5 linked regions of the Neurospora crassa OR74A genome follow. The protein of the gene in region 1 purifies or fractionates together with the protein of each later gene. This does not show direct contact. Links are inferred from orthologs where the notes say so. Each region holds a gene or a part of one and is shown in the gene's direction. Other genes may lie near its edges. The genes, in order: NCU05645, NCU00505, NCU03778, NCU03625 and NCU01614.

Region 1 (5,556 bases):
ACTTCAAGTCTACGAAAAGATCCGGCGCAACCGGGCTTCAGCTATCCAGGTGATGAGCAACGTTGGCTTTGACGAGGAGGCGCCGCGGGAGTTGGAGGTGTATCTAAAGGAGGAGGGATGGGACGCGGGAGTGCCTAGTAAGTCTTTTTTCCGCTTCTTAATTTTAGGCCATAGGGGTTAAGGAAGTAAAAGGGGACAAACTGACTGCTGACGCGAAAATGCAGAAAATATGAAGGAAGTGGTTGAACTTGAGTATGGACCGGATATGGTGGAGAGGACTGTGAAGACGATGAAAGACGAGGTTGATGCTGGGTGGGAGGTACCGAGGGGGTTTTTCCCGGGGTTTAAGGGGCAGTAGAGGTAGTGCTAGTTCAGAGTGTGAAAGTGGTTCTTACAATTTTATTTGTACTATATGACCTGGCACCCGGTGTCTAAACACAACGATGGACCGTTCCGTTGTGTTTTCACTCCATCTTCTTCTCCTCCTCCGCAGCAACAGCAGGAGCACTCTCCTTCTTTCCCTTCTTCAGAAAGCCTGCCACCTTCGCCTTCAACTTATTTACCCCCTTCTTCAACCCGCTCTCCGGGCCCTCATTCGCCGCCACGAACCTCCTCACCAGTATGTTAAACATGCCGCCAAACGCCAAGGCAATAGCCGTTGACGTGAAGATGATGACATTGTACGGCATGCTGAAGTCGGGCGTCGGGAGGTTGCAAAGCAATGTGGTCGTTCTCAGATTATATGCCGCAAACCGCGAATTTCTTCCATTCCCACCGCTCTTGTTGTCCCTGTTCAAGATGGTAATGACAGCGGCGGCCACATCAAACCCGCGATTCGCGTCCGGAGGGTACTCGGTATACCGCAGGATGGACTTCTCAAAGTCGTAGGTGAGAAAAACGGTAGAAGCGGGCGGGACGGTCATGCGGACTTCGAGTTGGGTTCCGCGTGCGCGGTCGACGGCGGGGCGGTAGTAGACTTCCTGGATCAGGGAATCGGCCTTGCCGGGCTGTCCGTCGACGCGGGCCGAGATGGTGTGCAAGTAGATGCGCATGAACCAGGGAAGGGATTCCATGTAGATGAACTCGACTTCCTGGTCGGGGCTGGGGTTGCGCAGAATGGTCTGGACGCCGCCGCGCTCTTGGCCGTGGCCGGTGAAACTGCGTTCGGCGTAGAGGAGGGGCGTTTCGGGCTTGACGACGTGTTCGATTACTACTGATCCGTCCTCGGCCTCGGGGGCAGGGAGGAAGATCTCGAAGTCGTTCTCGGCGGGGAAGTCAAAGCAGCGTGAAGTCTGATCGGGGTTCTTCTTCTCAACAGCGCCCTCGGAGGCGAAGACAATACGCGAATCGGGAACTTGGATGCAGACAGGAGACACGTTAGGGTCGGTCAGAGGGCAGGTTCCCTTGATAGGCTTGCCGAAGATTTGGGATAGCGACCAGTCCTGGTTGGCGGCTGAATCGGTGGGGAAGCAAGTATCGTGGGCGTGGTACGGCTTCGAGGTATTGCACTTCATCTCGTGGGCCGGAGGGGGCCTGGGAATCGGGTTATCTAAGCCGGTTTCGTCAGTTGTAGTCTTTAACCACGTCGTTCAATCATTAGTACACATACCCCTGGGTCTCTTGGATCGATCAATGTCCAATACCATGTCAATGCTTTGCTCGATCTGCAACACACACTCGCCATCCTCCGGGCACACGGGCCGGATATCGATCGCCATTGTCTGCCATGAGGAGTCGAAGAGCTTATGTCCGTCAAGCAACGACGCAATACCAGCCTTGCCCTTGCATGGAAGAAGCTTAAGAAAGGGTGTCAAGTTCTCGGTACAGACAACTTCGTGGGGTAGCACGCCGTAAAGTAGGTGCATGTTCGTCGCGTTCGCGTCGATGTGGTTGCCCTCGGGCTGGAAGGACATGACGGGACGGGTAGTTCGGGTGCTATCGATGAAGTTGAGAGAAGCACAGAAGAGGCCAGACAGCGCATTGGTGAGCGTCAGCCATTTACGGTCGGCCCTACATGGTGTCTGTAGTTAGTCTCTCGCCCAAGTCATGATCCGCGGTGTTGTGTGGGTGGTGGTGAAACATACTCCTCGTCTGTATCTGCCTCCAGCCACGCCCACATCTCAACACCTGTTCCACCCTCGCGCGCACCATTCCACGGCCTTGCGCCCCAGCTCTCGGCATCCCATCTTCCCAGACTAAACCTCAAGTGTAACTCGCGCGTGCCGGCATGCTCGAGAATCTGGCCCAGCGACCTGGGGAAGAAGCGGAAATTGTGCGCCTCGAAGGCAGAGAGCGATGTGTTGGAGCGGAAGTTGAAGCTGGCGAGCAGAGTCGACAATGGTAGCGGGCGCAATATTAGCTGTTCGTGGTAGTCGGATCGGGAGTTGGAAATGGAATCGGCAGGGGAGGAGGAGGCATTGGCGATCGCAGTGTAGGGCGAGAAGCAAAGAAGAGAAAGTAAGGAGAGTAAGAAAGAAGAAGGAAAGGATGGGCGCATTGTATTAACTGGAGTGAACGCTGTCTATTGCCGTTGTCTATCCATTTGCTTGATCTGTACGTCCACCGCAAAGTACCAAAAGCAATTTCCGGAGACAATGGCAAGACAGAAGTAGAAGTGGAAGACACGACGGCAAAGATGGTGACAGTTCACACCTAACTTTTAACTTTTGTTGGTGTTGCGTTGGGTGCCCTGGCTGCCGTCGGAGGGGATCGCAACTTGGGCACCCCCCCCCATTGCTGATGGGAGGTGCTGGAAGAGTGCCTGCCGCGCCCTGGCATAGCGGGACAAGACCCAGAAGGGAATTGTGGTTGATGACAGCACATTTCCAGTGGATGAACCGGGATTATAGCGGCAACAGGGGAATGGAGGGTATGTAAAGTGGGTCCACTTCCCCGGTTTCAGCGATCAGGTTCCATCCAGCAAGCAGCCTTGCATGCGCGGCTGACTTTTGCGACTGCATTCGACCTCCAAAATCTTGGGAATTTCTCCCAAACAAAACAAAACGTCAGCAACCGCGAAAGCGCTTTACCATCACCAGCCCTCGCAATTTCCGTCAAACCAAAACCTAGCGACGCCTATCGAACCCAAAACATTTTCATAGTAATAATTATAAACAACAAGACCAATCATGGCGGCCGAACAAAGAAAGCTGCTCGGTAAGTCGCATCCCCATACTTCCTCCCACCCCCCTACAAACTCCCACTAACTTCTTCACCCCAACCATGCAGAGCAGCTGATGGGCGGCGGCATCTCCTCCCGCTCCGCCCAACTCTCCCTCACCGACCCCAAAGTCTGCCGCTCCTACCTCGTCGGCACCTGCCCGCACGACCTCTTCACCAACACCAAGCAAGACCTCGGCCCGTGCTCGCGCGTGCACTCGGAAGCCCTCAAGGCCGAGTACGAAGCCCTGCCTGAACAAGAAAAGAAGAAGTACGGTTTCGACTACGACTACATGCGCGACCTGCAAAAGTACATTGACGAGTGCAACCGACGGATCGACGCGGCACAGCGACGCCTCGAAAAGACGCCCGACGAGATCCGGCAGACAAACGTGTTGCTCAAGGCCATCTCGGACTTGGGCACGACCATTGCGACGGGTCTGTTGGAGGTGGAGATCTTGGGAGAGCTGGGCGAAGTGGGGAGGGCGTATGACGAGCTGTTCAGGGTGCGCCAGGCGCAAGCGGCGAAGCAGGAGAAGGAGAGAGAGCTGAAGGCGCTGTCGGATACGAGTGGCCCGTCAGGCCATCAGAAGCTGCAGGTGTGCGACGTGTGCGGGGCGTACCTGTCCCGGTTGGATAATGACCGCAGACTGGCGGATCACTTCTTTGGCAAGATGCATTTGGGATATGCGCAGATGCGGAAGACGTATGATGCATTCCCGAAGGAGATGCGTGGACGGCAGAGGCCCATGGGAATGGGCGGTGGTGGTGATGATGATATGGGTGGTGTGCCAACGGGTCCTGGTGGACGACATGATGATTGGGGTAGAGGCCGTGGACCCAGGAGTGGCGGTGGCGGTTATCGTGGGCGTGGTCCTAGACGTGGTGGGTGGTAGGGTGCTTGAGGCGTCGATGTTAAGGGAAGAAACGGGGAAAGGAGATGGATACGATCCAAGATCTGGCGGAATCATGTGCATTGAAAGGGCGTTGGGGCGTTTTACACTATTCGAGCCTGGGATTTGAAGAAGTCGGAGCTTGTCCCTTTATGGTCTTTATTTTTGCAGCCCGCGTAGAGAAAAGAAGCTATTAGTTATATCATGAGAGCGCAACACACAGACAGGTATAGAATCGACGTTACCAGCAATTACACTTCAATCAATGCGATATAACTCGGGTTACCCTTTACATTGTGCATGATCAATTGCGGTTCCGGCTAGCAATCTCAATTCAGATTCTTGTGGTATCAATTCGTCTGTTCGCTTTTACAAAATCGCTGTTGTCTAGACATTTTTCGTATCACATGAAAGAAACACCTCGCTTCCATCCTCTACGGCCCAAAAAAAATGCCTGTGGTTTCCAGGACCCCTCTACAAGTCGCCCTCCCGAGGAAAAATACACCGAGTCGTCACCAACGGCAAGTTACTCCTCTGGTGTCGTATTATTCTCATCGGAATGCATGTTGGGACCCTTCCACCGACGCATTTGGGTGATATCGGATTCTGTTACCCATTTTATAATGTTTTCCGGGTTGTTATAATGGCGATAGGATTGTTCATCTTCAACGTGCTCGCTTTTCATATATTGAACATCCAGCAATGCTCTGTTACTTGCTGTAAGTGGCAAAACCTGGGATGCTTTGTGGCTCCCGGGTGTTTCTATTGCCCTCTCTGCGATTTTCTGTTGCATTTCCTCGAGGTCCCTTTGATATTGCTCGAGGCGTCTTTGTACCCCGACCGCCTTGGACGGTTCGAGATGTTGGAGACCGGCTGGTAACTTGTCTAACGCTGGAGTGGCCACCGGCGTTTTAAGGGTTTGGCGGGCAGTGACTATCTGATCTGAAGTTAGAGTGGCATCAACCTTTGGTGGTTCAAGACCTAGGTGGCCAGCCACTACTTGGGTTGGAACTGAGAGGAAACCCTTCACCCTCGCCAGTTTCGTCGACTCATGCTCCGCTGCCGGCTCTTTATTGACTGTGTCTCGCGAATCAGATTCATGGTGACCTTTTGGGCGCGTCGTTGACATTAACGGTGGCTTGATACGAGGAGGGTCCTGAGAATTGGAACGAACGGTTGAAGCCAAGGTAGGCCTCGCATAGGAAGGGTTCTAGTTTCCTTTTGACTTCGCCTGCGCGTTCGCCGCCTCCTTTGCCTGTGCCGCTTTTTTCGAGATACTTTCTTCCACCTCATCATCCCATCTGCCCACAGCAGGCGAGAGGGGCAAGGAAGCAAAAGATAGGGGGGCGCTTGTGCTGACTTGCGGTGCGGTGGCTTTGCTGCCGGGGAGTGCAGGAAACTCGTCGGGGGTCAACTTCGGTTTGTCGGCTTTTGGTGCACCAGGCCCAGGCCCGGAGCGTTCAGCACGAGGGGCCGCTGGGCCATCCGCCTTCCAGTCCCTGCC
Region 2 (5,412 bases), on another chromosome or scaffold:
TCGTAGCCAGGAGATCTAGTCTCGGCAACTTGTGACACTCAAGGTCATATTAAGGTATAAAGGACGTTGTTTGTACAGTTGACGTATCATGTTGCCAGCCATTGAATGCTTGGAACGGTTGAAGTCCGCGATAGCTTCGCGGGTTACGTACAGTTAGACCCAGCTTTTTCTGTAAGTAAGTGGAGCTGAAAGCTGAACTCAATTCCCGGTCTAGACCCACTCCTTCAGCCTGAAAAGGCGGTTACATATGTACCTAGATTACCCCACCATTATCCATCGATCTTCCCCGCCGTCCAGTCATCACGTCACGAACCTCTGCCATAAACTGGAATTCAAGAATCACCGGGCAGACTCACGACATTGCCAGACCGATCTTCAACATCCACCACAAGACCTTTGCTTTCCCGGTCGTCTTCTTCTGTCCAAGGCAGAGTTTTACTCAACTGTCATTTACTCGAGTGCTGCACACCCAGCTGTCTATCTCACTTTACGCACGCCGTTTACGCACGCCCAATCCTGTGGCATCGATTGACCGTATCGCACATACTTTCATCTGATCTAAACAAGATCACCCTCTGCCGACAATTTCGTGCGTCGTCCCACCGGTGGCAGCCTGCAACGAACGGCACGCTTTGGAGCCAGCAAAGGCCAAATTATACAACTAGAATAGGTCAGTAGTTGAAGAGCAACCGTGTCTTGTGATCTGGTATCCATGGCCCTGTCCTCTCGGCGGGTGACCAGCTCTTCGGCCCTACGGGCTTTGTCTGGTTGGGCTGCACATCCTCATCCGTCCCCTGCCTTCTGTCCCTCGTCATTTATAAAGGTTGTGAGGCCGTGACTAACCCTCTCTTCGACTGTAGTCATCCACTACGAACCATTGACTTTACTGCGAGTTTGTCTCTTCGTTTGTCCGCATCGCTTCCACGGCGCATCGTCCTGAACACGAATCGACAACAAGAATTTTCCTCTACACGACATACCTTCACGGTCAAACTTTTCAACGCCGACATAGCGCCAGCCTAATCTTCCCAATGACATCCTTCGTTACAAATCTCTGGGAGTCGATCTTCACTCCGGGGCCGACTCCCACCCTCCTTATCGCGACAAATGTCACATTTGCCGCTCTGCAAATTGTCCTGGCGTGCCTCCTCTTTGCGACATGGAGTATCCACTTCGTAATTCTCTCGGCTCTCTGCGGTGGACTCTGGGGATCCATCAACTGGTTCGCGGCGGAACTGAAGGTGCACCAAATCCAAGAAGAGGAAAAGGCGAGAAGAGCCAAAGAAGCAGCGCCAACTCCAGTCACATCGGAAGACAGCGAAACAGAAGTAGAGGCAGCTACATCGACAGCTAGCCTCACGAGGCAGGAGTCAATTGCAGAGGCGGTCAGCCATGAGGTTGAGCCTATCCAGCAGATTGGAGAACTGAAGCACAGAGTGGTTGAGGAGACACCGAGCCTGGGCACTAAGAGCGGCGTCAGCACGGAAGATGAGTGGGAGAAGGTTTCGGAGAACGAGAACGAAAAGGACAAGTGAATATCCTGGCGATTGAGCGGGGACCGACCACACGCAGAACGTACAAGCGAATGTCGTGTTAGCGAAGTTACCATGGCATCCTGTAAATAGTGTCATGGTCCGCTTTCGTGTTGGAGTTGAGCGACGATGGCATTTACACATCCACCCTGTTTTCGTTCTTCATTGGATGAAAGGAGAGGCAGTTGAAGGCTGTAAGCCCTATGTTCGTTTCATAGTCCTTATCCTGCCATGAGGCATCATGATCTGTGCAACTACAGCTATAGCTTCAGAGACAAAGTCATAGTAAACAACACCTTGTTGTTCGGCGTGGCAGTTAGCCAGCCCATCTTCGTGTACCCCAATTATCTGGTTGCTTCAACTCAGCACATGAACAGATCATGTGCAGGGCAGGCAATTTATGGATAGCTTGAAACCCATGACTTCCAGGGTTAGGGGCTTTCAAGCCGCCGTTTGCCTGTTCAGCTCGGCTCACGTGATTGAGCACGGGCTCTATCTTGGCGCGTAGCGACGGCAGGCTATCTGCTCCACCCTGACGCTTGGATGGTTGTGCAAGCGTCCAAGGAAGCTCGACAAGCCTTCTCCCGTCGCGACTGTTGATTGACAAAGTAACAAGCTGGTAATCGAGACCTTGTCACCACCAATTCCATACAACACATATTCGATTACGCGTTGTCCAAATAAGTCAAGATGAAGCTGGTCAGGTAAGATTTCTCCTTGCTTTCTGATACTTCGCTACATGTACCCGATACCCCATCCCACCCGACTTCATTCCTATTCTCTTGCACGACGCATGCTGAGCTTTGAGTCCTCGCCTTCAAGGCTGCCAGCCCGTGTTCGCGCGCGTCCATGCTGCTCTACTAGAAAAAGAACACCAAGGGCACCAGGCTGACGAAGTGGAATCCGTTACTTCAACACTGCAGATTTTTGATGAAATGCGCCAACGAGACGGTGACGATTGAGTTGAAGAACGGCACAATTGTACACGGCACTATCGCCTCGGTCACACCCCGCATGGACACTGCGCTTCGCAACGTCAAGATGACCCCCAAGGGCCAGGACGCTGTGGCTCTAGATGCCATGAACATTAGGTAAATCAACCCTTTCAACTAAGGGGGAGTGGCCCTTTTCAGTTTTCGAGGGCATCACTAACTATTGAAACCCTACAGGGGCTCGACCATCCGTTACTTCATACTCCCCGATTCTTTGCCGCTCGATACATTGCTAGTTGATGATTCCGTGAAGCCCAAGAACAAGGCGAGAAAGGAAGCGGACCGCAGCGCCGGCGGCAGAGGTGGCCGTGGTGGCCGTGGCAGAGGAAGGGGAATGGGTCGCGGCCGCGGTCGTGGCCGTGGCTAAGCGGATCTCGTTTCTTTGGGATCGGCCACGGCGTACGTCTCCCTGGACGACAGAAACGTGCGAATTAGATTTTTTTTCAAAGACGATACGATGCTATACTACGGTTAATGGTGGATTTTTTTCGGTTTTTTATGCCCCCTTCGGTCGACCGGCTTGACCGTCTTGGTAGGGAAGATCAAGGCCGGCCCGAAATAACGTCCGGTGGCGACGACACGACAAAATCGACGATGAGTGCGCTTCAGAAAATCGAGGAGCATATCCCAGATCTTCACTTGAGCGACACTCGAGATTCACCTCATTCGCATCGAGTGTTACACACATAAACACCACTCCCCCTCATCGGATCGGAGCAGAGGGCAAGCATTGGGATTTCGTTGCGGCGTTCTGGACAGGATAAAATCACTTTGCTAGCGGGAAGGGAGAGAGAGAAAGGCGCGCCCAACCGCCACCGGAATGAACTATTTTATGTATCACAAAACAGATAGACGGCGATATATGCCTACTGGAGAAGGCGGCACAATCAGCAACTCTCTATACCAAATTTCCCCCAGAATTTTCGAGCCTTGTACGTGACTGACCATCGTCCTTCCCCCTCTTCCACCCTCTTCAACAGCTTCCTCCCCATCCTCAACTCATCACCAGCATCTCATCCCTCCATTCACCTCCAAACCCTCACAATCTGCAACTTCTCCCAACCCGCCTGCCTCCCACTAGTCCCCACCGTCTCTGCCTTCCACTTCCCTTCACCACCCATCACCCTGATCCTCCCTTTGACCTCCTCCGGCTTATTCTGCGCACAAAGCAGAATATACGCCACCCCCCTCTCGCTCAACACCCCCGGCAAGGCCTCAATCAGTCTATCCGTCGTCTCCATCCCATCCCTCCCTCCAGCATACGTCAACTCCAAGAGATGTGAGTCTTCCTCAAACGTCGTTTTCTCCTTCAGTGCCTGCAACCCTGTCGGTGGCGGCGCAGGCAAGTCAGGCGTAGGGACGTAGGGCGGGTTGAAGACTAGGACATCTACCGATCCGGGACGAAAGGGGGAGACGAGGTCACCTTGGGTTGCTGATGTCCAAAAACCGGAGGTGGAAGTATTTTCGGAAACGGCCTTGGAGACGGTAAGGTTGGTGGCGGCACAGGCGAAGGGGGACACGTCGATGGCGGTTGACAGGACATGCGGGCTGCCAAAGATGGTGGAGGCGTGCGCGGTTAGGAAGGCGATCACTACGCCGGAGCCGGGGCCGACTTCTAGAATCAGAGGCGCTGGGGAAGGGGAGAAGGGACTAGGGGAGGCAAAGCGGGATGAGAGAAAGGCGGTTTCGGAGGAGGACGAGAGCGTGTCGAGCAGGAGGAAGGAGTCCTCGGCTGGTTCGTAGACGCGCTGGTAAGGCACATGGGAGGTGTCGGGGGTTGGGAGCATGATGGCGGTTGGGTGATTGGTTTTTGGGTGGTTGTTGCCGTTGCACTATCTGTGTTTAATTCGGTATAAGAGGTGAGTGGTACCCTGTTCGAGGCCGACGAATTAAATCTCAAGGGACAAGAGGTGGACCAATGAACTGTTGAGTACTTGGCGACAGCGACGTTGAGGATCGCTTCCAGTTTTGTCCGATTTGGGTTGTTTGAACAAGAAATGACAAGGCTCGAAATTTTATGTTCATTTTCGTTTCGGATAAACACTCAGCCTTGGCACGTGATAAGGGTTGTATGCGTGAGAGCAAAAGATAGAAGGATGACCGAGTTAGTCACTCTCTCTCTTCACAAAGCACCATCTAGGCGAGCAGCATCCTCACTTCAGACAGCGTCTACAGGTAGGTGATACCCGCTACCTAGCATCGACGCATGAAAACAGCGCCATTCGAAGTAGCTACCTCCTTACTATTAACCCAGATGCCCAACAAACAACACATCCCAAGCCCGCCTACCTTCGCTACCTCTCAAGCTCCTCAAGTTTCCCGCTCTCACTTACAACATTATCCTTCTTCATCCAAACCCTCCTCCTCCAATCATACTCCCACAACTTATTTTCTCTGCACGACTTACACGGGACGGGCGCGTTATTACTCCGATGAGGTGGTACCGCACCCGATAGGGAGCTGGGGGCGCTCGGAACCTGCATAGTAGGATCATGGTATGTTCTCCGTTTGTGGAAAATGTGTCCGCAGAGGAAGGTAATGGGGGCTTCGCGAGGGGGGGTGGCGTATGTCGACATCTTGCTGCTGGCGATTGGAAATGGGGAGTCAACGCTGAAGGCGGGAGAAAATATTGCTGAACTCCAGCCCCTAGTCGTTCTGGTACTTTTTTGCATGGGTAGTATACCGAGAAGGGAAGACTTGTTCGGCTCTATGTGGGATTTATACGGAAACTAAAGCTGTGAACATGTTTCCGTGGAATCGATGGGAATGAAGGAGCAGACTCCTAGTGATGCAATACTATCTATGGAAGCGAGGAGTGATCAACATCATATCCATCAAGCAGCCCCCCTCCCCAATATCGAAGAAATTTGTAAGTTGGGATGACGTTA
Region 3 (5,668 bases), on another chromosome or scaffold:
TGGATGGGGCAATCATCATCATTATCAACACGGGGTGGGTTATCGTACAACGCGCATTTCTCCGACCACTCCTTAGCATCTTTGTCCATTCTACTCTTTCTTCCATTGGACATGCTCAGTACCCTTGCTCCGCACGGCCATACGATCGAGGACGTCAGAAACGGCTTCCCGAACACCTTGCTTGCCACGCCTGGTCTCGACGAAGTGGTCGATGAGCTTTTCCCGGGTGAAGTTGCCCTTCTCTATCGCCTCCTTGACGTCGTAATCGTTGGGCAGGCCAAACTTGTTGTAGGGATACTGCATGTAGGATCTGTCGTTGAGCAGCTCCAACACAGGGACCTCTGGGTCGTTCCTAAAGTAGTCCTCGGAGATGTTGGCTCCAGGGGGGATCTCGTCTAGCGAAGCCGGCTTCCACTTGGCAGGTCCGTTCGCCCCCTTGTCAATGAGCAATGCGGTGACGCCCTCATTGAAGTCGTGAGACTTCATGAACTTGGCGGCCATCTGGTGTTCGCGCTTGAACGTATGAGCGATGCCCCAAGACTTGCCGAGGCGCATCTGGCGCAACGTAACATGGAGAGAAGTAGGGGAGCGCTGGGTAAGCTCCTCCAGGGTGTTCTTGGCCCAGCTCTGAACGCCTCCCTTGGCGCCTTCAGCGGCTTCCTCCTTAAGGGCGGCAATAATCTCGTCGATCTTGTCGTACTTGAAGCAACGGTCGATAGCAAGGCGAATCTTACCGCCAATTTCGATATTCTCGTCGTAGGGGACACCGGTGGAGAACTCTTCGATGGTGTCGTTGATGACGCTAAGGCGCTGTTCTATGGTCCAGTAGTCCCGGGGGGTAAGCTCGGCAAGACGGGATTCCAGGGCAGGCAGACTGCTCGAGTGAAGGTAGTGGGTGGCAATGCCGGCGTAGTAGACCTGGACACCCTTCAGCAGGGCGCTGGTGAGACCGAGGTAGGGGCCGACCTGGCCAGGCATCCTGGGGAGGAAGAAAGAGGCGCCGACGTCGGGGAAGAAGCCAATCTTGGTCTCGGGCATGGCGAAGACAGTGCGCTCGGTCGCAATTCTGAAGGGGGCGTGGATGCTGAGACCAACACCACCTCCCATGGTAATGCCGTCGAGGAAAGCCACGTAAGGCCTGGTGTAGGTGGAAATCAGGTGGTTGAGCTTGTATTCGAGGCCGAAATAGTCGACGGATTTCTTGACGCCCTCGGGGCCCTCGGCGTTCTGCTTGGCCAGCGCGGCAACATCACCACCGGCGCAGAAGGCCTTCTCTCCGGAGCCCTTGATGACGATGACGTTGGCCATATCGGAGCGTTCCCATTCGAGGAGACGGGGCGCGATCTTGCGGATCATGGAGCCATTGAGGGCGTTGTACTTGGCTGGGCGGTTGAGCTCGACGGAGCGGAGATTATATAGACTGTTGAAGAGGACATCCTCGGGCTCGTCACCCTCGACGGGCTTGAACAACTCGGCGGCGGCTTGGGTCGAGATCTGGGAGGAGGGGGCGGCGAGCGTGTTAGCTGTGTCCGTGTCCATGGCTTTTGTCTTCCCAAGGAGCGTCTTACTGGGGCCTGCTGGCCCAGGACTTTGGCTCTGAGCGGCATCGCGGTGAAGCTTGGTCGGCAGCTGCGAGAAGCAACAGCAGAAGCCAAGCCGGCGCGGCTGGCAATGGACTTGGAGACCAACATCGATGTACACTTCGGTAATTGGCTGGCTGGCTGGCTTTGTCTAGAATAGGAATGGAATAACAAGACCCAGGGTCAATATGGAAGAAAAATACTAAGTCCAAAATCCACCCCGAGGCTGTTTAGCACCGTTGTTGCATCATAGACCGGCCAAGGGACTCGGGCACTTTTTTTCGGGACTCGTTTTCCTGGGCTGGGAAAGGGAAAACGGGAGAACAATCACCAATGATCTGAATGCCGCGTGGATGCAGGAACCGTGATAAGTGATAGCGAGAGTATCTGCAAATCCACTTTTTGCTGGAATTCAACGCGAAATGGAGCTCCAGCTTCAATTGATTTTCAAGGGCACCGCGCCTGGCAATCCCCGGGGCGGGGTTAGGTACGGGGGAGCTAATACATAGTGTAGAGGTAGCTGTGGAACCTGCCGAATCCCCGCCGCTATCGCTAGAAGCTGGAATATCCTCCGGCCGATGATACCTCTATCCATTCAAACTTGTCATTTTCCAGAAGCGACGCTCGGGCCCTCCGCTCACTGGAAACCCGATGTCCCGGCTGTCCGGGGGAGCATGTCGGGTTCGGCGGGGCTGGCAGCACCTGTCACCGGAGCGGTCCTCAGCCTTTCGCATTGGGATCCACCGTGAGCTTGTCATCCAATCGCCAAACTTTGAAGACGGTTCTGTTCCCAGAAAAGCTTGGCGCGTGTGCTGTAGCTGCTCCACGCTCCGAGTCGCCGCCGCGCCTGGCCCTCCGCTGCTGCAACATTTCCCGTCGTGGATTGAAGATAGCGATAGCATCCATTACAGCAACTATTGTCCAGGCTTCTACCGTACACCACCAACCCATACCACGCGAAGCAACCACTCGACGTCAACAACCATTTTTGATACAAAGACAAAACTACAACTCATTTGCCCCTCCTACATTTCAGTACCACTCCAATTCAACTCTAGACCAAAACACCATCGTCATGGCTTCAGCGGATGCAAAGATTCAGTCAGTAGCTATCCCACTCTCCAGCATCAACCCATGTGCGCGGGCAGCCCATGGACGCTTCAAGGAAACCAACTTGACTAACAACTGTCTACTATACAGGGAGCTTCTCACGAAGCCGCGCAATGAGCTTACGTACGTTATATCCTCTTGTCAACATCACCTCCCTCTGTTACCATCGTCATCTCGCCCGCCCTGCTGCTCCCAGCTCCTCCTCTTTGCGACCCAAGACCACGACGCCCGCCCAGCCAAATCACAAAGCTAACCAACTCGTCTGATACAGTGAATACGAAGTTTCTCTCCTCGAAGAGCACGAGTTCTCCGCCGGTCCTCTGGTACATATGCCCCATAAGCCTTGATCTACCACCCCTTCGACACGGAGCAGCGACTAATATGACACCCTTTTTGGCAGTCCATCCTCCAGACCGCCGTCCGCAGCCACTCCCAAGTCCTCATTTCCGTCCGCAATGGGCGCAAGATCCTTGCGCGCGTCAAGGCTTTCGATCGCCACATGAACATGGTGCTGGAGAACGTCAAGGAGATGTGGACCGAGACGCCCCGACTGGCCAATGGCAAGAAGGGCAAGCCCGTAAACAAGGACAGGTTTATCAGCAAGATGTTTGTGCACTTCCTTTTCATCTGTTGTTTCTCTCGCCCAGGAGAAGCGAAGATCAATGGCTGACATGTTTCACTTTCCTGGCAGGTTCCTGAGAGGCGACTCCGTCATCCTTGTCCTCCTCAGCTAGTTCACGAATAGCACGGCAAAATGTATAGGTTGGAGGTTTATTTCACTTGCACGGCGAAGACACGCGCCAGCACAACTTAGGGTTAATGGCTCGAATGGAGTGGGGATGAGCCCGGGAAGGGTACCTATTGTTGGTCGACTGAATCGAGAGACATGCGGACTATATCACCTTACTACTACTCAACCGCTCGATCGACCATGATGACGACACAACCACGAAAGCAATTCAAAACGCCCCGTGAAAAGGCGCCGCGCAGGAACGAGAGGAAAGAAGAGAAACCCAAGCAGATTTTCAGGGGCTATTAGGAAGGTCATACAAAGGGAAAACTAGTGTGAGCTCGGCGTTCAAACGTGTATTTGGTTTTGTTTAACTTTTTATCTTTCATTTCTGGTAACTTGATCGAACAGAATACCCAGACCGTGTTTAGGTTTTCGCAGACGCGGTCATGTTTTCTCGTGCTTTTTAACGACAAGCAACGGGATGATTTGTATTGGTGTTCCTGGTACGTCATTGAAATGGTGGTGCAAACTAACTACCTAGGGGTATATCGAGATCACATACAGCACCAATTCTTACGGCAATTCCGCCTCTCTTGTAACCTCCTCCCATCCATCATCCGATCCCTTGGCCTGCTTAGCACTGGAATCATCAGCCTTTTCAATTCCAGCCAGTCCAAGGAAGAACTTGGCCAATCCCCAAGCGCCCGGATCCGGCACCTGCTCGAATCCGGACCCGCCAATGTAGACGGTGCGGCCCAACTTGGCCTTCATACCCTTGGTGCCCTCAGCTCCCTGCTTGGCAGCCTCGGCCGCCTTCTTCACATCACCGGTCTTTTCGAGCGCATCGACAAAGGGATAGAGGGCATCAACCAGGGTGCGGTCACCGGGACGAGCGGGCGTGTACTTGGACAGGGCCTCACAGCTCAGTTTGAGGGCTGCGGCCCAGGCATTTTCATCAGCAGCTTTCTTGTCCGACTCCCCTCCACCGACAGTGTGGAGAGAGGCGACCAGAGCGTTGAGGAAGATGCCGTAGAGAGCACCCGAGGTACCGTCCATGGTTTGCTCGACCACGGTGACGATCTTGGCGAGGTCAATGGCTGCATCGCCTGTTAGGGGGTTGGAGTCGAGATGCGACAAGATTGCTGGCATTCTGTTAGCTATCAGGGGGAAAAGGGGTTGTTGTTGCTAGGGGGACATACCCTCAGCGCCGCGCTTCAGACCGATACCGCAATCACCATCACCCACCATGGTGTCGTACTTGGTCACATCCGGTTCGGCGGCGATGACAGCCTTCAGCCCGGCAACCAGCTGCTTCTGCACCTCCTGGGGCTCATACGTTAGACCACAAGGCCTCACCTCCTCCTCGGACTTGACCTCATTCTCCCGGGTACTCTTGTTTTCCCGCTGCTCCTCCCAAGTCAGCTTGGAGATGGGTGCTGTCCAACCCGTTGCCTCAGATGGGTAATCCAGCAAGTCAATCATGCCCGGTCCGCCAATGTCCGTGTTAACCACATTCAACAGCGAGATACTAAATCCCAACCCATTCAAGCTCGTCATATACGTGCCGCTCAGGATCCTCACGGGCTTGATCCCATACGGTTGTTCCGCCAACTGCGTCACCACCTCGGTGACAATCCCGCCCATCTCCAACGGGCTGACACCACCGAGGTTGTTCACCAACAGCACCACCTCATTCGAATTTACGTTCACAAACGCCCTGTCCTCATCGTTCCGATCCAGCAACTGCTTCAGCATCTTCCCCACCAACTCCGGCAACCCAATCCCCTTCTCCCTACTGCTCCCTTGCTCATTATGAATCCCCATGCCAATCTCCACCTCGCCCTCCTTCAACACCTTGAACTCGGCGCCCTCCGCCTCCGCCCTTCTCCCCGGAACATGCACATGCTCCAGACTGGCGCCGACACTGACGATATTCTCCGCCGCCAAATTGGCCACCTTTGTCACCTCCTTCAGACTCCGTCCCTGCGCAGCCAACGCTCCCGCAATCTTTTGGACCAACACCGTCCCCGCAATGCCTCTTCTGCCTACTTTCCCAGCTTTAGCCCGTCCAACACCGACATCATCCCCGACAACCACCATCTCCACGTTCACCCCCGCGGCTTTGGCTTTTTCTACGGCTAGGCCAAAGTTGAGCACGTCACCGGTGTAGTTCATGACTACCACCAGGACCCCGCCCGCGTCCTCTCCTCTCTGTTGTTGTTGTCCATGTTCAGGAGAGGAGGAG
Region 4 (6,080 bases), on another chromosome or scaffold:
GGCCCCGGTTGTATGTCTTCGCCTCGGTTTGTACTCTCGTCGCAATGTTGGCGCTGGGGACAAGGCTCGAAAGGGTTCTGGTTCGTGAGTGAACACCATGGGTTCCGCTTCTTGCACGGTCGGCAAGGGCTCGCTTTCACGGTAGCCGTCGTCTTCTGACGGGTTGTCAAAAGCATCATCACCCGAGACTGAGGTGGCGTTGGTGGTAGTGCCTTGATGTTGTTCCTCCTCATCTGCGACCGAAAACTCTCCAATGGGCTCTGACTCTGCGATCTCCGCGAAACTGCGTTCTGGATCCTCCATGACCTCGGAGCTCTCTGGCATGATCGCAACGGGCTCTTCGGGGAGTTTCCAAGGGCTGACCGCAACTGCCGGGTGGTATTCCTTCTCCTGGGGTATCTCTATACCTCCCATATACCCATCCGCATATCCTCCGGCATACCCTCCGGCATATTCCCCCGCATAACCTCCCATGTAGTAACCCTCTGTGTATTCATAATCTCCCCAAGTACCTGCAGGAAAAATCAGCTGGGGTACAACAAGGAAGGATTTTCAAGGGCGTACCGTCAGCCAATTTCCTGGCTCGATAGAAGTAGGTTCCATCTTCACTTGACACCCAATCTGACCACACCTGCACAGGCTCGACCACCACTTTCTTTTCCCGCTTCCATGGGAACCACTTGAAGCCCTTCGCCGGGTGCTCGGTAGTATAGGCCCGATGTCTTCCTGGCATTATGGCGAAGGCAAGACAATACCTTGAGACCTGACCAAGAGAGAAACACGGAAGGAGTGGGCCTCCGGTTGACTAAAGCAGGTACGACGCCCTCGTGTAGGAAATCCAGGGCCAATACGACCTTCAAGTGTGATCTCGGTTTGACAGGACCACGTAGTCCAGGCAGTCTGCGTTCTTTTTCTTGAGGTGAAGCAAACAGCGAATGGAATTCTCGATTCACTAAAAAAGGATCTTGTGACAAAACGAACCGATCCCACGCTGGGAGACGGACGGGCATAAGTAGGAGACGGGAAGCCCACATCACCAGGGGTAAAAGTCTGCACGACGGCCAAGTCAACTCCTCAATTACCGGAACTGATGGAGTGACCAGACCAGAGATCTTCCACTCGGAACTGAGATGTCATGTAGCGTCCAGCGCTAGAAGTTGGCAGACACCTCCTGGAGAGTGGTGAGACGTCCAATCAGGGCAAAGACGAGGACATGATGGTGGGAGGTGGGATGCAACCGGAGCTGCCGTCGAGCTTGTCAAAGCTTGCTAGTACCGCACCATCACCACACGATCCAGCTCACACAGCGAGATAACAAAGAAGGTGGAGAGAAAAGACCGAGAACTCGGAGCAACCAAGACGGAGGAGCAGACGCACACAGATCATGGTCTCTCGATGCACATGCATGCAGCCTATAACAGCCAGTGCTATGGAAGATCAGTCCACGCCAAACCCACCTGCCGCAGCTCGAGGTTGAGACGGTTAGTTGCCTCGCCCATTCAGCGGTGCCGGGGCGGTTCGTGGGGTTTGATCATAGGGTTTGGGCATCAAGCTGACAACACAGCAATTGGCCGGCGGCCCACTTGGCCAGCCCGTCACTGCGTTTTGAAAATGGGACAAGGCCAGATGGCCCCTTACTCGCTGGACTACGTAGCCGTGCAAGCCGTGGTCGTGGCCGACAGGGAGCGAGGATGGAGGCATGTATGTAGTAGCATGATGCAGAAGGACCCGGGTACGGCATCTCTCGGGGCGCGAGGAAGTCTGGAGAACGTCGAGGGGCGTTTTCTGTCCTGTATCACGTCCCGTCCTTGGCTGATAGGCAATGGCTAGACGAGGCCGTCGAGAATGTGGGAGTTGCTCGTCAACGGTTGGCTGGTGGTATGGGGCAAAGCGGGAGGGGAGTGACTGTCCAATATTCGGGGACAAGGGTGAATTGAGAACCGAAGGACCTCACATAATTCAGCGTATAGAACATCGAAGAAGGCCTCATTGAGAAAAAGGTTGGGGATGCTGTGTTCAATGCGTTGGACAATCCCATCCCCGTGACGGCCGCCATCATGCGACGACTCGGAACATGAGCCAGGAAAGTTGAGCGATAACGGCGTTCGGGGTGCTGAACCAGACAGTTCATACTTTGATTGAGTACAAGCGTATGACAGCAGGCCGGTAAATTCCACTTACTGCCAATGGGTTGAAGAAAGAAGGTTTATGTCAGTGACGATGACGAGGTTTTGGATGACCGAAGACCACCAGTTCACTGAATGTGGGGACAGCGCAGAAGAGGCGTGTGGGGAAGCCTCCACACTTCCTTGTAGTGTAGGACCTCAATGCGCGGTACGTACCGTGAGATCTGGCAGCTGTCTTGCAGCTGACAAGATCAACTAAGCTCTCCGACGAAATTCCCAGCAGCACCGGGCTGACAGGGCTGCCGCGTTCACGTCAAAGGCAACTGATCGCATCCACTATCATCGCGAACCAAGTCGCCTGTACTTACGGCATACCATCTAGGTAATCTCTAAAACCAACACCAAGAAAGATCAGTTCGCCCCTCCACATCGCCAACCAACCTCACCACGTAATAACACAGCCGCCAACATGACTTCCACAATTGGTATCCCCATCAAGCTCCTCAATGAGGCTCAGGTAAGTAAACACCATTGCTATGCACAGACTGTAGTGCTGCCAAAAGCTAACCAACCACTCCTGTCCCACAGGGCCATATCGTCACTCTCGAGATCACCTCCGGCCAGACCTACCGTGGCAAGCTTATCGAAGGTACTGCTAACCCCCATGAACTCTTCATTCCCATTCACTCCTCTAAACTGGCCAGCCATGCTAACCAATGCGCTCCCCCGCAAAACAGCCGAGGACAACATGAACGTCCAACTCAAGGACATCACCGTCACAGCCCGCGACGGGCGCGTCAGCCATCTCGAACAAGTCTACATCCGCGGCAGTCATGTGCGATTCTTTATTGTGCCGGATATGTTGAGGTACGTTCAAACCAGGCCACCACCAACTCATCCGTTGCGATTCTTCTCCCCAGTTGCCCCCTACCTACCCAATAAGTCGGATAGGACCCAAGCTAATCATTTCCTCCTCCTCTTTTTTTTGTGTTCCCATACAGAAACGCCCCCATGTTCCGCTCCCGCAACGTCCGCGGCCGCGGTGTCGGTCTCGCCCGCGGTCGTGCGACAGTCAGTAGGGCGCGCGCCGGTGGTCGTGGCGGCGCCAGATAGAAGACAGCGAGCGCCGCCTGTCGTCAGACTCATCGACCAAGACCAGACCCAGACCGAGAATCATTGAAAATTTCACAACGGAATGCAATATTGGGGCACAATAATCGGCATATTATGGCTCCTTTTTTTTTTCCGCGCGCAACGACAACCGCTATTTTGATATTTTAGGCGTTTTGGGTGGGGGGAACCAATAAAGCAAACTTTGATCTTCTTTCTACCGAAAATGGGGGGCAGCGAGTTGGATGGAAAGAGAAAAGTGTGGGGGGCAAGCTTTGGATGCCCAGAGAAGGAGGAACAGGAGGGATAGGGAGGAGGGTGGCTCAAGGCCGGCCAGAGATGAGAAGGGACTGGAGTGAGTGCTGGGGCTGGGATTGGAGGGTTGAGAGCCTCGATGAGGAGTGATATGGAGGACGCCAGCTGGCCCCGCTCATCCATCTGCTGCCAAATGATGATCATGGGAGAAGCGTGGCGTATCCAGGGGTTTTCACGCTCCGCCAGCTGGACGATAATGGTCGGTCGATGCAACAGCCGCTACCCGTCCGTCAGCACGCAACGAAAACCTGGCTTCATCACGGTTAGCAGCCAGAGCGAACCAGGTGTTCAGCCAGCCTCAGGTCTCCCCCCAGTTGAGTCCTTGGCCAAGGAGCGAGCACATACAGCATGGATCGAATCGCACCGAAAGCGAAACTCCTACTAGCCCTGGTTCTGATATAGACAGGGTACGTATTCAACGTCTTTGTCTATTATGTTGTTGTACACACAACCCATTCCATCTTCAGCCTACGCTGACAGTTTTTGATATCTACCACAAAAGTCCGATGCCCCCTTTTTACTCCCACTTCGGCTTGCTTTTTTAATGGTACATAAGAGTGTAGCCCTGGTTGATCTGTTGCGTCCGCCGGTTCTAACCCGCCTGTCCCTATATGTGAGGCTCGCATAAGACGAGCTTGCAACAATGCTCTGAGTGAGAGTGAATCGTGTAGACTAAATATACAACTGGCTGTTTAAGGGTTGAGTTGGAGAGGGCATATTGTCAAAACACCCACCTAAGGGACTAACAGGCAGGGCGAGAGGGCTGTGGAAAATAATAAGCACAAGAAGTCCGAAACTGACCAAGTTCGGTTTGCAGAATGTCCTTCTAAACATCTGTTGCAACCCATCATTTCTACTTCAGCCTCGCAAGCGCTTCCTCGGCCCGCTTGAGGACACTCTTGGCCTCCTTCAGCTCCTCAATCTCAACCGCCACATCCTCGGGAACTTCAGGAGAAACGCTATCCAGCACCTCGGCAATGCTGGCTTCGGTTGCGCGAATAGCCTTGCGTCCTTCCTCACGAACCTCGCCCTCCCAGAAATCTCTCGCCCTCTCCCACCTTTTCTGCAAGCCCCTCAAACTCAAAACAATACCCAAGGCGGCGACGGCTCCACACTCATATATTCCGAATCCAGAGAGCCAGGACATGCCGCCGAGTGCCGTGGTGGCTCCCGCTAATGTTGATGACTGTAGCACGAGCTTCTGCGCCAGTGCTTGCAGGGCCGGAACAGTTTCCGCTAGTAGATAGTTTCTTGTGAAGGGGATATGCGCAGGCCAATTTCCCTTGGTCTCTGATTCCGTAGTAGCAGCAGTAGTAGCAACACTGCTCTCGCCCTCGGGGAACGACGGTGGAACCGCCGGGCCGGAGTACGTCACCGGCTTTTCTCCGCCCGCAGTAGTAATTCCAGCCTCCTGGAGCCTGCCGGCCAAAAAGATCAAGCGCTTCTCAGCCTCGGGCAAGAATCGTTGGGCAATCATCTCAGACGACAGCATGCCCACGTCATCCACCCGCCAAAACAGCTTCCACCAGTTCATCTGCCTCCACGCTTCGCCGACGAACGCAATCTCTAACTGCTGCTGCAGCTCCTCGTGCGCATCCTTGGCCCAGTCCGCCAGCGCCTGGTTCAGGCGCGCAATCGTGTGCGGCGACGGGCCCCCTTCTACCGAGACCTTCATGTCGCGGTACTCGGCCGCCTGGAGCGCCGCGCCGGCGTTGTGCAGAATGGACTCAATCAGCTTGCGCACGGGCGCCTTGGTGGCCCCTTCCTGCTCAGCTTGCGACAGCACGTTGGATCGCAGCCACTTGTTGATGTGTCCCACGCCGGCCTCGGTCCAGAGGGCTTCGTACTTCATGGCGTTGCTAGCGCTCTCACGGAAGAGGTCGAGGCCCTGTGCACCAGCCTCGACGCTAGTGATGACCAGGGACGGGCATGCGGCCTTGTCTTCGGCGCTGATCCTCTTGAAGTTGGCGACGGCCGTGATGGTGTCTTGGCTTTCTGGGCTGATGGGCAGTGACAGGATGGAGGCGGCGCTCAGGACGCCGTCGGCTACCAGCACGGCCATGTGCACGGGCGTGACGATGGGCGCCGAGTGGCCGGCTGTGGTGGCTGCTGTGTCGACGGCGGGCACGAGGATAGCCTCGTCAAAGGTGTGTGGCTGCTCGCCCGCCTGCGCGACGGTTGCCTGGTCGGCCTCCATGACTATCATCTCGAGGTTGGCATCGTTGTAGATGTGCGACGGCACGGTGATTTCGGGGATCACATGTTCGCTCGCGGCAAGCGACAGTGGCGTGGCTTGCTCCTCGGGAGGGCCGATGTGTACGATGAGCGGCTTGGAGGGGTCGTGGGCCTTGAGTTGCGCTTCCCAGTTTTGGGCGGATTTCAGCGGATCGGCGAGTGCCAGGCGGAGCAGCTCCCTGGCAGTGTGTTGGGGCTTGTCGCCGGTGGTGAGGCCGAGGAATGCGACTCGTATCGATTCATGGCCGGGATCTTGGCTAAGGTTGCGTAGGGCGAGCTGGAGGCGCGGAAGAT
Region 5 (5,913 bases), on another chromosome or scaffold:
CGCAAGGTCTCTGGTGCTCCAGGTATACCCCCTTGTTGCAAAACGAAATATTTCTGCGGCAGAAATGCTAACTCTGATCAAGGCACCGCCGGCTGGAAATACCTTGCAGAGCCCCTGTTACATCACATCAAGCCACCCCCGGGAGGATTACCCAAGACAGAGACAGGTGATGATGACGAGGTGATTGACCTAAGCAAGGACAAGGTCCTGGTTAAGCAGAAGGACCTAGTAACTGCACTACAACGACTACACGCACTGGTCGTTTCACATCCGAATCCCGGCTTGTGCAAGCGACTTCTCTCTCCTTTACTGCTGCCACTCTGGGCACTTACCACTTGGCCAAACTCGGAGAAGCCGTTGAGCGAAAAGATTACGGAACCCGCTTCAGAATTACTCAAGATCTTCCTCAAGCTTTCACCTTCTGCTCCTGTCCTTTTAGCGCTCGTCCACAATTTAGGTTACGTGGGTGGCTTTGACAAGAAGAAACCCGAGTGGGTGTACAAGCAAACCGAACAAGGAGAGATTCAAATTGTCGATACCAACCGTCCTCTGCAAAAGCCAGGGGAGCAATACATCGGCCTTTCACTTCCAGAAATCGATCAAAAGATACCCAAACTGCTGGAATTGATTGGTTCAACTTTTTCCGAGGCCGATGTCTCCTCAGCATTCCTCGATCTCTTCGGGCGGTGGCTCAAGTCAGCCCGAGGCCAGAAAAAGAGCGGGATTCAGATTATCAAAGATGAAGAGGAGGATAAAGACCCGATAGCCCAGTTCACCGAGGTCAAGCTTCTCCTGGCCATGATGGAAAAGTTCCCCGAGAAACTCGCCGGGCAACCCAAACACATCCTCGAGCTAGTCAGCCAGGTGCTCTCGGAAGCCAACAAAGATACCGCGGATGAGGCCGGAGAGGACGAAGTGATCAGAGTAGCCCTCAGTCTCCTCAACATGGTCATCACCGTCCCCGGCTTCCAAAAGAAGCGTGTCGACCCTGATGTCCTTCGTGTCATTGAATCCTCCCTTGAAGCCCTCTCCAAAACAGGCGACAACGACAACGCCAAAACAGCTTCCAACCTCACCCTCCTCCTGCGCTACCGCGACGAAATCGATGCCCTGGAAGCCGCCGACTCATCCTCGACCACCACAACAACCGGTGGTCCCACAGACCGCCAAATTGAAGACCGCAAGACCTACTCCCTCGCCATCTCCTACATCACCCAACCCGATTCCCCCCCGCCCGTCCGCTCCGAAGGTCTGAACCTCATCTCGAACCTCATCACCTCCCAATCCCCCATTCTCGACATCCCCGGCATCCTCGTCCTGCTCGCCACCCTTCTCTGCGAGCCAAACTCTTCGGAAGAAGATTACATCCACCTCCGCTGCATCAAGCTCTACACCCAACTAGCCAACGCCCACCCGCGCGCCGTCCTCACCGACCTGATCGACCGCTACCTGGACCCGCGCGAATCCGCCCTGGCGACCGTCGACGCCCGCCTCCGCTTCGGCGAGGCCCTACTCCAAGTCGTCGACCGACTGGGCCAGACCTTCACCGGCGACCTAGCCAAGATGACATGCGAAGCCCTGATCAGCCTGGCATCGCGCCGGGGGCATCGGCCCAAGACCATGGCGCGCCAAGCGCGCGAGGCTAAGGCGCGGGAACAGAAGCATAAAGAAGCCGAAGACGCGTGGGACGGCAGCGTGCCGGATATGGCGGATCCGATTTCTGCTGAGGAGCAGGCTAGGCTTGATATCTTGGAGGCGATTGTAGAAGGGTGGTCGTCTGGTACTTCCAAAACGGGTGAAGAGGATGTAAGGATCCGTGCCTCTGCGTTGTCAATTCTGGCGAATTGCATCGAGACGAATATTGTTGGTGTCGCGGCGGTGTTGACGATGGCGAGCGTGGATCTGTGCATTAATGTTGTGCAGGTAGAGCGGCAGCTGGAGAAGGGGATACTCAGGAGGGCGGCGGTGAGGCTGATTATGAGCTTTATCAAGGCCATGGACGAGGCGAAGCACGAGGGGAGGGTGTTGGGGATTGCGTTTGGGAGTGAGACGCAGGAGCAGCTGAGGACGATTTTGGGGTATGTGGAGCAGACGGACGAGGATGGGTTGGTCAGGGAGTATTGTCGGGATGTGCTGGAGAGCTTGGAGAATTGGAAGACGAATAGCTTGGTGGATGAAGTGTCGTTGAGCCAGGCAAGAGGAGGAGGGTTCGGTGGTGGTGGGTTAACGAAGCTGGCTGGGTTGGTTGTCGACCCGGAGAGGTCGGTTTCCCATGGTGGTGATGATAGTGGTGGAAGTAGTGGCGGTGTTGAGATGTTCGGCGGTAGACCTAGGATTGAGGAGATTGAGTAAAATATCTTCACCCAGTATGGGACTTTATTAATTCAAAATGACTTCCTGTCAGGTCCTGAACAGTCCCCTTCCATTTCGTTTCAAAACATCGGCGTCTTCGAGGGTCTTGACCTGAAGGTGTAAGTGGGCATCGGAAATAATCAGGGAGAGATGTCACCAGGTAAACTTGAGTGAAGAAGTGAAAGAATACACTAAGCTATGTACCTGAGTAATGATAAGCAAAAGGATCGCCATAAAGGTCTTGGTGATGCTCATCATCGTCGCTGTCAACAACATCAAGTATCCTCTAGCCACCAACCCTAACCCTGTAATCTACTAATCAGACAGGCTTATTGCCACGTCCAATCAGCTATCGCGTTAGGGCTCCACATGTCCCTCGTAACAGAGGAACTTCCATCGTCGCGCTACTCCAACGCCGCAAAGGTCCAGCATTGGAGGCACAGTCCCAGTTGGAGCTTCTTCCATCATAGCATCAACGCCAATCCCATCTCTCTTCCCAACTTTTCATAACCATAACCTCGACCTTGTTGCGTCCACCCGACCACAACCCACTCTTACACATCTAAGAAAACCGACAAATACAAAATTCCATTAGCACCAAGCCGAATCGCGAATCCAACTTTCGAGCCGTCCCATCGACGACAACAACAACAACAACAACAGCAAGCCTGTGAATACACACACAAGGCGCCACGCACTTGACCAAGAACCAACCCTTCGAACCGAAACCGACAACATGTCTTTTGTCCCAGTTAACCCCCGTCCCTTCCTTCAAGATCTCGTCAACAGCTTTGTGACGATCCGCTTGAAGTGGGGAGAGACGGAGTATGTTGGCCGTCTTGTTGTACGTATATATATACATATCCAGCATCTTTCTTCCAATCTAGCCTTCCCTTTGCCGCTGGACTTTGGTCTTGGCATACACAGCTGTGGGAAGCGATGGGGAGGGGAGGGGAGGGGGAAACCAGCAGGCAGGACCAAGGAGCAACGAAGGAAGAACAAAGAGAGAGAGGCTGACGAAATGCGTGTGTGCATGTGAACAACAGAGCATCGATAGCTACATGAACATTCAGCTCAGCGACACAAAGGAGTACATCAACCGCAAGTTTACGGGCGCCTTGGGGCAGGTTCTGATCAGGTACGTCCATACTGAATACATCCCACTGCTACGGCTTTCCATACGGACGACCCAATCCCCCATCTCGTATCAACTAGCCGGGATGCTGACATTATGGACTTCAACAATAGGTGTAACAACGTTCTCTACATCAAGAAGGCCGACGAGGCGGAAACAAGTGGCGACGTCAAGATGGAAGAGTGAAAGTTCTCTCGCCACCAGGAGGAGGAAATGAAAGGGTAGCCTAGACTAGCGGGCAGGGTGGTGAAGGGCGCGATTTGCAGAACAGACAGGAGGAATGTGTGAGGAGGGAGGGTCGTGATGTTCCGACTATAATACCCTGGGAGGAAAAAAGAAGAAGAAGAAGAGATGGATCTACTCTACCGACCAAACCAAACCGAGCCGAACCGAAGCACAAACCACAACGCACCCGCTCGCCGAAAACTCGTTTCCCAATGATGAAAGTGTGCGCTTCACGAAAGGTGCGACAACAGCTTTGATGATATCGGGCGCGCATGGTGTGGAGAGTGGTACGGAAGGGCGGATTTGCTTCAAGAGAGAGTGAACGGTGGATGGATGGATGGATGGGTACCGAGCGTCTCTCTGTCTGGTAGAGACCTTCGTTGCATCTCCTGCGCAAGACCGTCAAAGGAGCATGTGCCATCTGGCCTTTCCTTGAAGATAAAGGCTAAAATAAGATGTTGGAACAATACTCAGCTTAACAGGAAAGAAAGAAACAAAAATCTGTCAAGACCACACATCATCTAGGTACTGAGCAAAGAAAAGGAAGTGGCGGGTTGAGTTAGACATGCGGACATGGCGTCTGGTTTCCAGGTATTATTTCAACTGAAAGAAAAAGAGAACGAGCGGCGTGAATTTCTGTTAGTCTCAACTTCCACTTGCCTATACATCACACGACTACAGGCAAAGACAGTCACCATCATCATACACATCGCGCGCCTTCCCAATTATGAACATTCTATCCACCATTTGACTTCGAATCTTTTATTCTTTCGCTAAAACAAGACTTTTGACCTTTTCCTCGCAGCGTTTGTTACAGCTGCATACTTACACACTCCTAACACCCGACCTAGCCAGCCTTGCCCACCACCTACTGGTACCTAGTTACCTCCGTTTTTACATTTCCTCTCTTCTAACCAAAAATGCAGGCAACCTTACGACTGCTATGCATCTCAGAAGCGCCAACCTTGATACGGGTCTTGGGACCCACCCAAGCATACACTTCAACCATCCACTCGTACCACACCCTGGTGTCGTCGGTCTGGCGCCACATGCTGACTTCTAGCTCGGTGTCCTGAGGGAAGTAGAGGGGTTGCTATGTATCGTCGAAGAAACAGGGTCAGTAATCGTCACCAAAGCAGGAGCGAGGAGCGAAAAGTCAAGAAAAACAAGAAATGAAGGAAGAAGAGATAAAAACTCACCCTAAGAGGGAAGAAAATCGGGAACCAGGAAATCATGTCCTTGCTCTTCCGATCAATCTGATCTGGCAAGATACTAATTTCTACTGGCGTCTTGCCCTCCTCCTGATGCTTGTACAGCACGCTCTCGAAGTAGCCCGCCAGACCATGGATCACACCTCTCGTGGGACAGACAAACGTCAAATGGCAGTGCCGAGCATTATGCTCGTTGATGCCGCTGGAGCCGTACATGCTGCCGCTGCCGTGAGTAACATACTTGCGCGCGCGCCCGTTTTGGGCAGAAAAGTCGTCGGCCCGCGACACCTCGACGGGGTGCACGAACTCCCAGGCCTGCTGGAACCGGCCGTGCTTGGGCACTTTTTGGGCAACGTAGGCGAGCTGGAACAGACGTGTCACCCAGGGGATGTCGAAGGCGTTGGGGTCGCTGACGACGCGGTTGGACAGGTCGGCGAAGATGCGCGGGTGCGCGATGGGGGAGAGATGGGCGGTATACGAGTAGGGGATGGAGATGCCGTGCGGGCGGGCAATGTGCCGCTGAATGCCGTCGAGGCATTCCGGGGAAAGCTCGTTGTCGCCGAAGGAACCGAGGAGCTCAGTCACGAGAATGTCGAGCTTGGTGATGATGTTCGGGTTGGCTGCGAGGCGAGGACCTTCCCACTCGCGCATGTCGGTCTTGATCACCGTTACCGAGTTGTTCCACTCGCGCTTGTTGCGGCGCAGGAGGTAGACGTAGGCGTTCTGGTTCTTCTCCAGAGCCCAGAGCTGGATAGGAGTGTTGGTGGATGCGGCGGCCCGGAGAACGCGGGCAACCAAGGGGCCGCGGCCGGCGCCGGCGACGGCCACGATCAGGTCCTTGCCGTCGGGCGTCTCGGGCGTCACGGAGGAGACGGGCCGGTTGTACTTCTTCCATTCGAGCATGGCCTCGGCCACGGCCTTTTCGTACTGATCGTACTTGACCGGATCGCCCTCAAAGACCTCGTATGTGGCCGACTCGAGATTGTCCGA

The links.
Region 2: the proteins of NCU05645 (region 1) and NCU00505 purify together in Saccharomyces cerevisiae (affinity purification with mass spectrometry; 3 studies listed by BioGRID). This does not show direct contact. The link is inferred for Neurospora crassa OR74A from reciprocal best matches to the Saccharomyces cerevisiae genes LUC7 and SMD1.
Region 3: the proteins of NCU05645 (region 1) and NCU03778 purify together in Saccharomyces cerevisiae (affinity purification with mass spectrometry, with the first as the bait; 3 studies listed by BioGRID). This does not show direct contact. The link is inferred for Neurospora crassa OR74A from reciprocal best matches to the Saccharomyces cerevisiae genes LUC7 and SMD2.
Region 4: the proteins of NCU05645 (region 1) and NCU03625 purify together in Saccharomyces cerevisiae (affinity purification with mass spectrometry, with the first as the bait; 4 studies listed by BioGRID). This does not show direct contact. The link is inferred for Neurospora crassa OR74A from reciprocal best matches to the Saccharomyces cerevisiae genes LUC7 and SMD3.
Region 5: the proteins of NCU05645 (region 1) and NCU01614 purify together in Saccharomyces cerevisiae (affinity purification with mass spectrometry; 3 studies listed by BioGRID). This does not show direct contact. The link is inferred for Neurospora crassa OR74A from reciprocal best matches to the Saccharomyces cerevisiae genes LUC7 and SMX3.

Annotation. Positions count from the first base shown.
Region 1 is NC_026506.1:1,219,048-1,224,603, reverse strand, and holds NCU05645 (U1 snRNP splicing complex subunit), read left to right. Parts: upstream 1-2,998; 5' UTR 2,999-3,128; coding exon 3,129-3,156; intron 3,157-3,228; coding exon 3,229-4,055; 3' UTR 4,056-4,329; downstream 4,330-5,556. Other genes in the region: NCU05643 (hypothetical protein), read left to right, coding at 1-137, 225-358; gpit-1 (GPI transamidase component GPI16), read right to left, coding at 465-1,549, 1,610-2,010, 2,085-2,497; NCU05646 (hypothetical protein), read right to left, coding at 5,263-5,556. UniProt on the Saccharomyces cerevisiae protein: Component of the U1 snRNP particle, which recognizes and binds the 5'-splice site of pre-mRNA. Together with other non-snRNP factors, U1 snRNP forms the spliceosomal commitment complex, that targets pre-mRNA to the splicing pathway.
Region 2 is NC_026501.1:8,192,412-8,197,823, forward strand, and holds NCU00505 (small nuclear ribonucleoprotein Sm D1), read left to right. Parts: upstream 1-2,095; 5' UTR 2,096-2,222; coding exon 2,223-2,236; intron 2,237-2,354; exon of another isoform or gene 2,355-2,455; coding exon 2,456-2,623; intron 2,624-2,701; coding exon 2,702-2,891; 3' UTR 2,892-3,441; downstream 3,442-5,412. Other genes in the region: pkr1 (ER membrane protein), read left to right, coding at 1,032-1,535; NCU00504 (hypothetical protein), read right to left, coding at 3,550-4,311. UniProt on the Saccharomyces cerevisiae protein: lays a role in pre-mRNA splicing as a core component of the spliceosomal U1, U2, U4 and U5 small nuclear ribonucleoproteins (snRNPs), the building blocks of the spliceosome. Also binds telomerase RNA and is required for its accumulation.
Region 3 is NC_026505.1:2,381,490-2,387,157, forward strand, and holds NCU03778 (small nuclear ribonucleoprotein Sm D2), read left to right. Parts: upstream 1-2,443; 5' UTR 2,444-2,655; coding exon 2,656-2,681; intron 2,682-2,780; coding exon 2,781-2,813; intron 2,814-2,961; coding exon 2,962-3,013; intron 3,014-3,090; coding exon 3,091-3,296; intron 3,297-3,381; coding exon 3,382-3,424; 3' UTR 3,425-3,913; downstream 3,914-5,668. Other genes in the region: NCU03777 (mitochondrial 3-hydroxyisobutyryl-CoA hydrolase), read right to left, coding at 91-1,494, 1,569-1,691; dak-1 (dihydroxyacetone kinase 1), read right to left, coding at 3,997-4,565, 4,623-5,668. UniProt on the Saccharomyces cerevisiae protein: Plays a role in pre-mRNA splicing as a core component of the spliceosomal U1, U2, U4 and U5 small nuclear ribonucleoproteins (snRNPs), the building blocks of the spliceosome.
Region 4 is NC_026505.1:1,885,940-1,892,019, reverse strand, and holds NCU03625 (small nuclear ribonucleoprotein Sm D3), read left to right. Parts: upstream 1-2,411; 5' UTR 2,412-2,595; coding exon 2,596-2,643; intron 2,644-2,714; coding exon 2,715-2,775; intron 2,776-2,863; coding exon 2,864-2,993; intron 2,994-3,127; coding exon 3,128-3,239; 3' UTR 3,240-4,370; downstream 4,371-6,080. Other genes in the region: NCU03626 (hypothetical protein), read right to left, coding at 1-512, 565-733; NCU03624 (hypothetical protein), read right to left, coding at 4,405-6,080. UniProt on the Saccharomyces cerevisiae protein: Plays a role in pre-mRNA splicing as a core component of the spliceosomal U1, U2, U4 and U5 small nuclear ribonucleoproteins (snRNPs), the building blocks of the spliceosome. Also binds telomerase RNA and is required for its accumulation.
Region 5 is NC_026502.1:2,950,195-2,956,107, forward strand, and holds NCU01614 (hypothetical protein), read left to right. Parts: upstream 1-2,777; 5' UTR 2,778-3,088; coding exon 3,089-3,196; intron 3,197-3,398; coding exon 3,399-3,490; intron 3,491-3,600; coding exon 3,601-3,673; 3' UTR 3,674-4,457; downstream 4,458-5,913. Other genes in the region: NCU01615 (hypothetical protein), read left to right, coding at 1-22, 83-2,352; pp-2 (protein arginine N-methyltransferase HSL7), read right to left, coding at 4,623-4,805, 4,912-5,913. UniProt on the Saccharomyces cerevisiae protein: Plays a role in pre-mRNA splicing as a core component of the spliceosomal U1, U2, U4 and U5 small nuclear ribonucleoproteins (snRNPs), the building blocks of the spliceosome.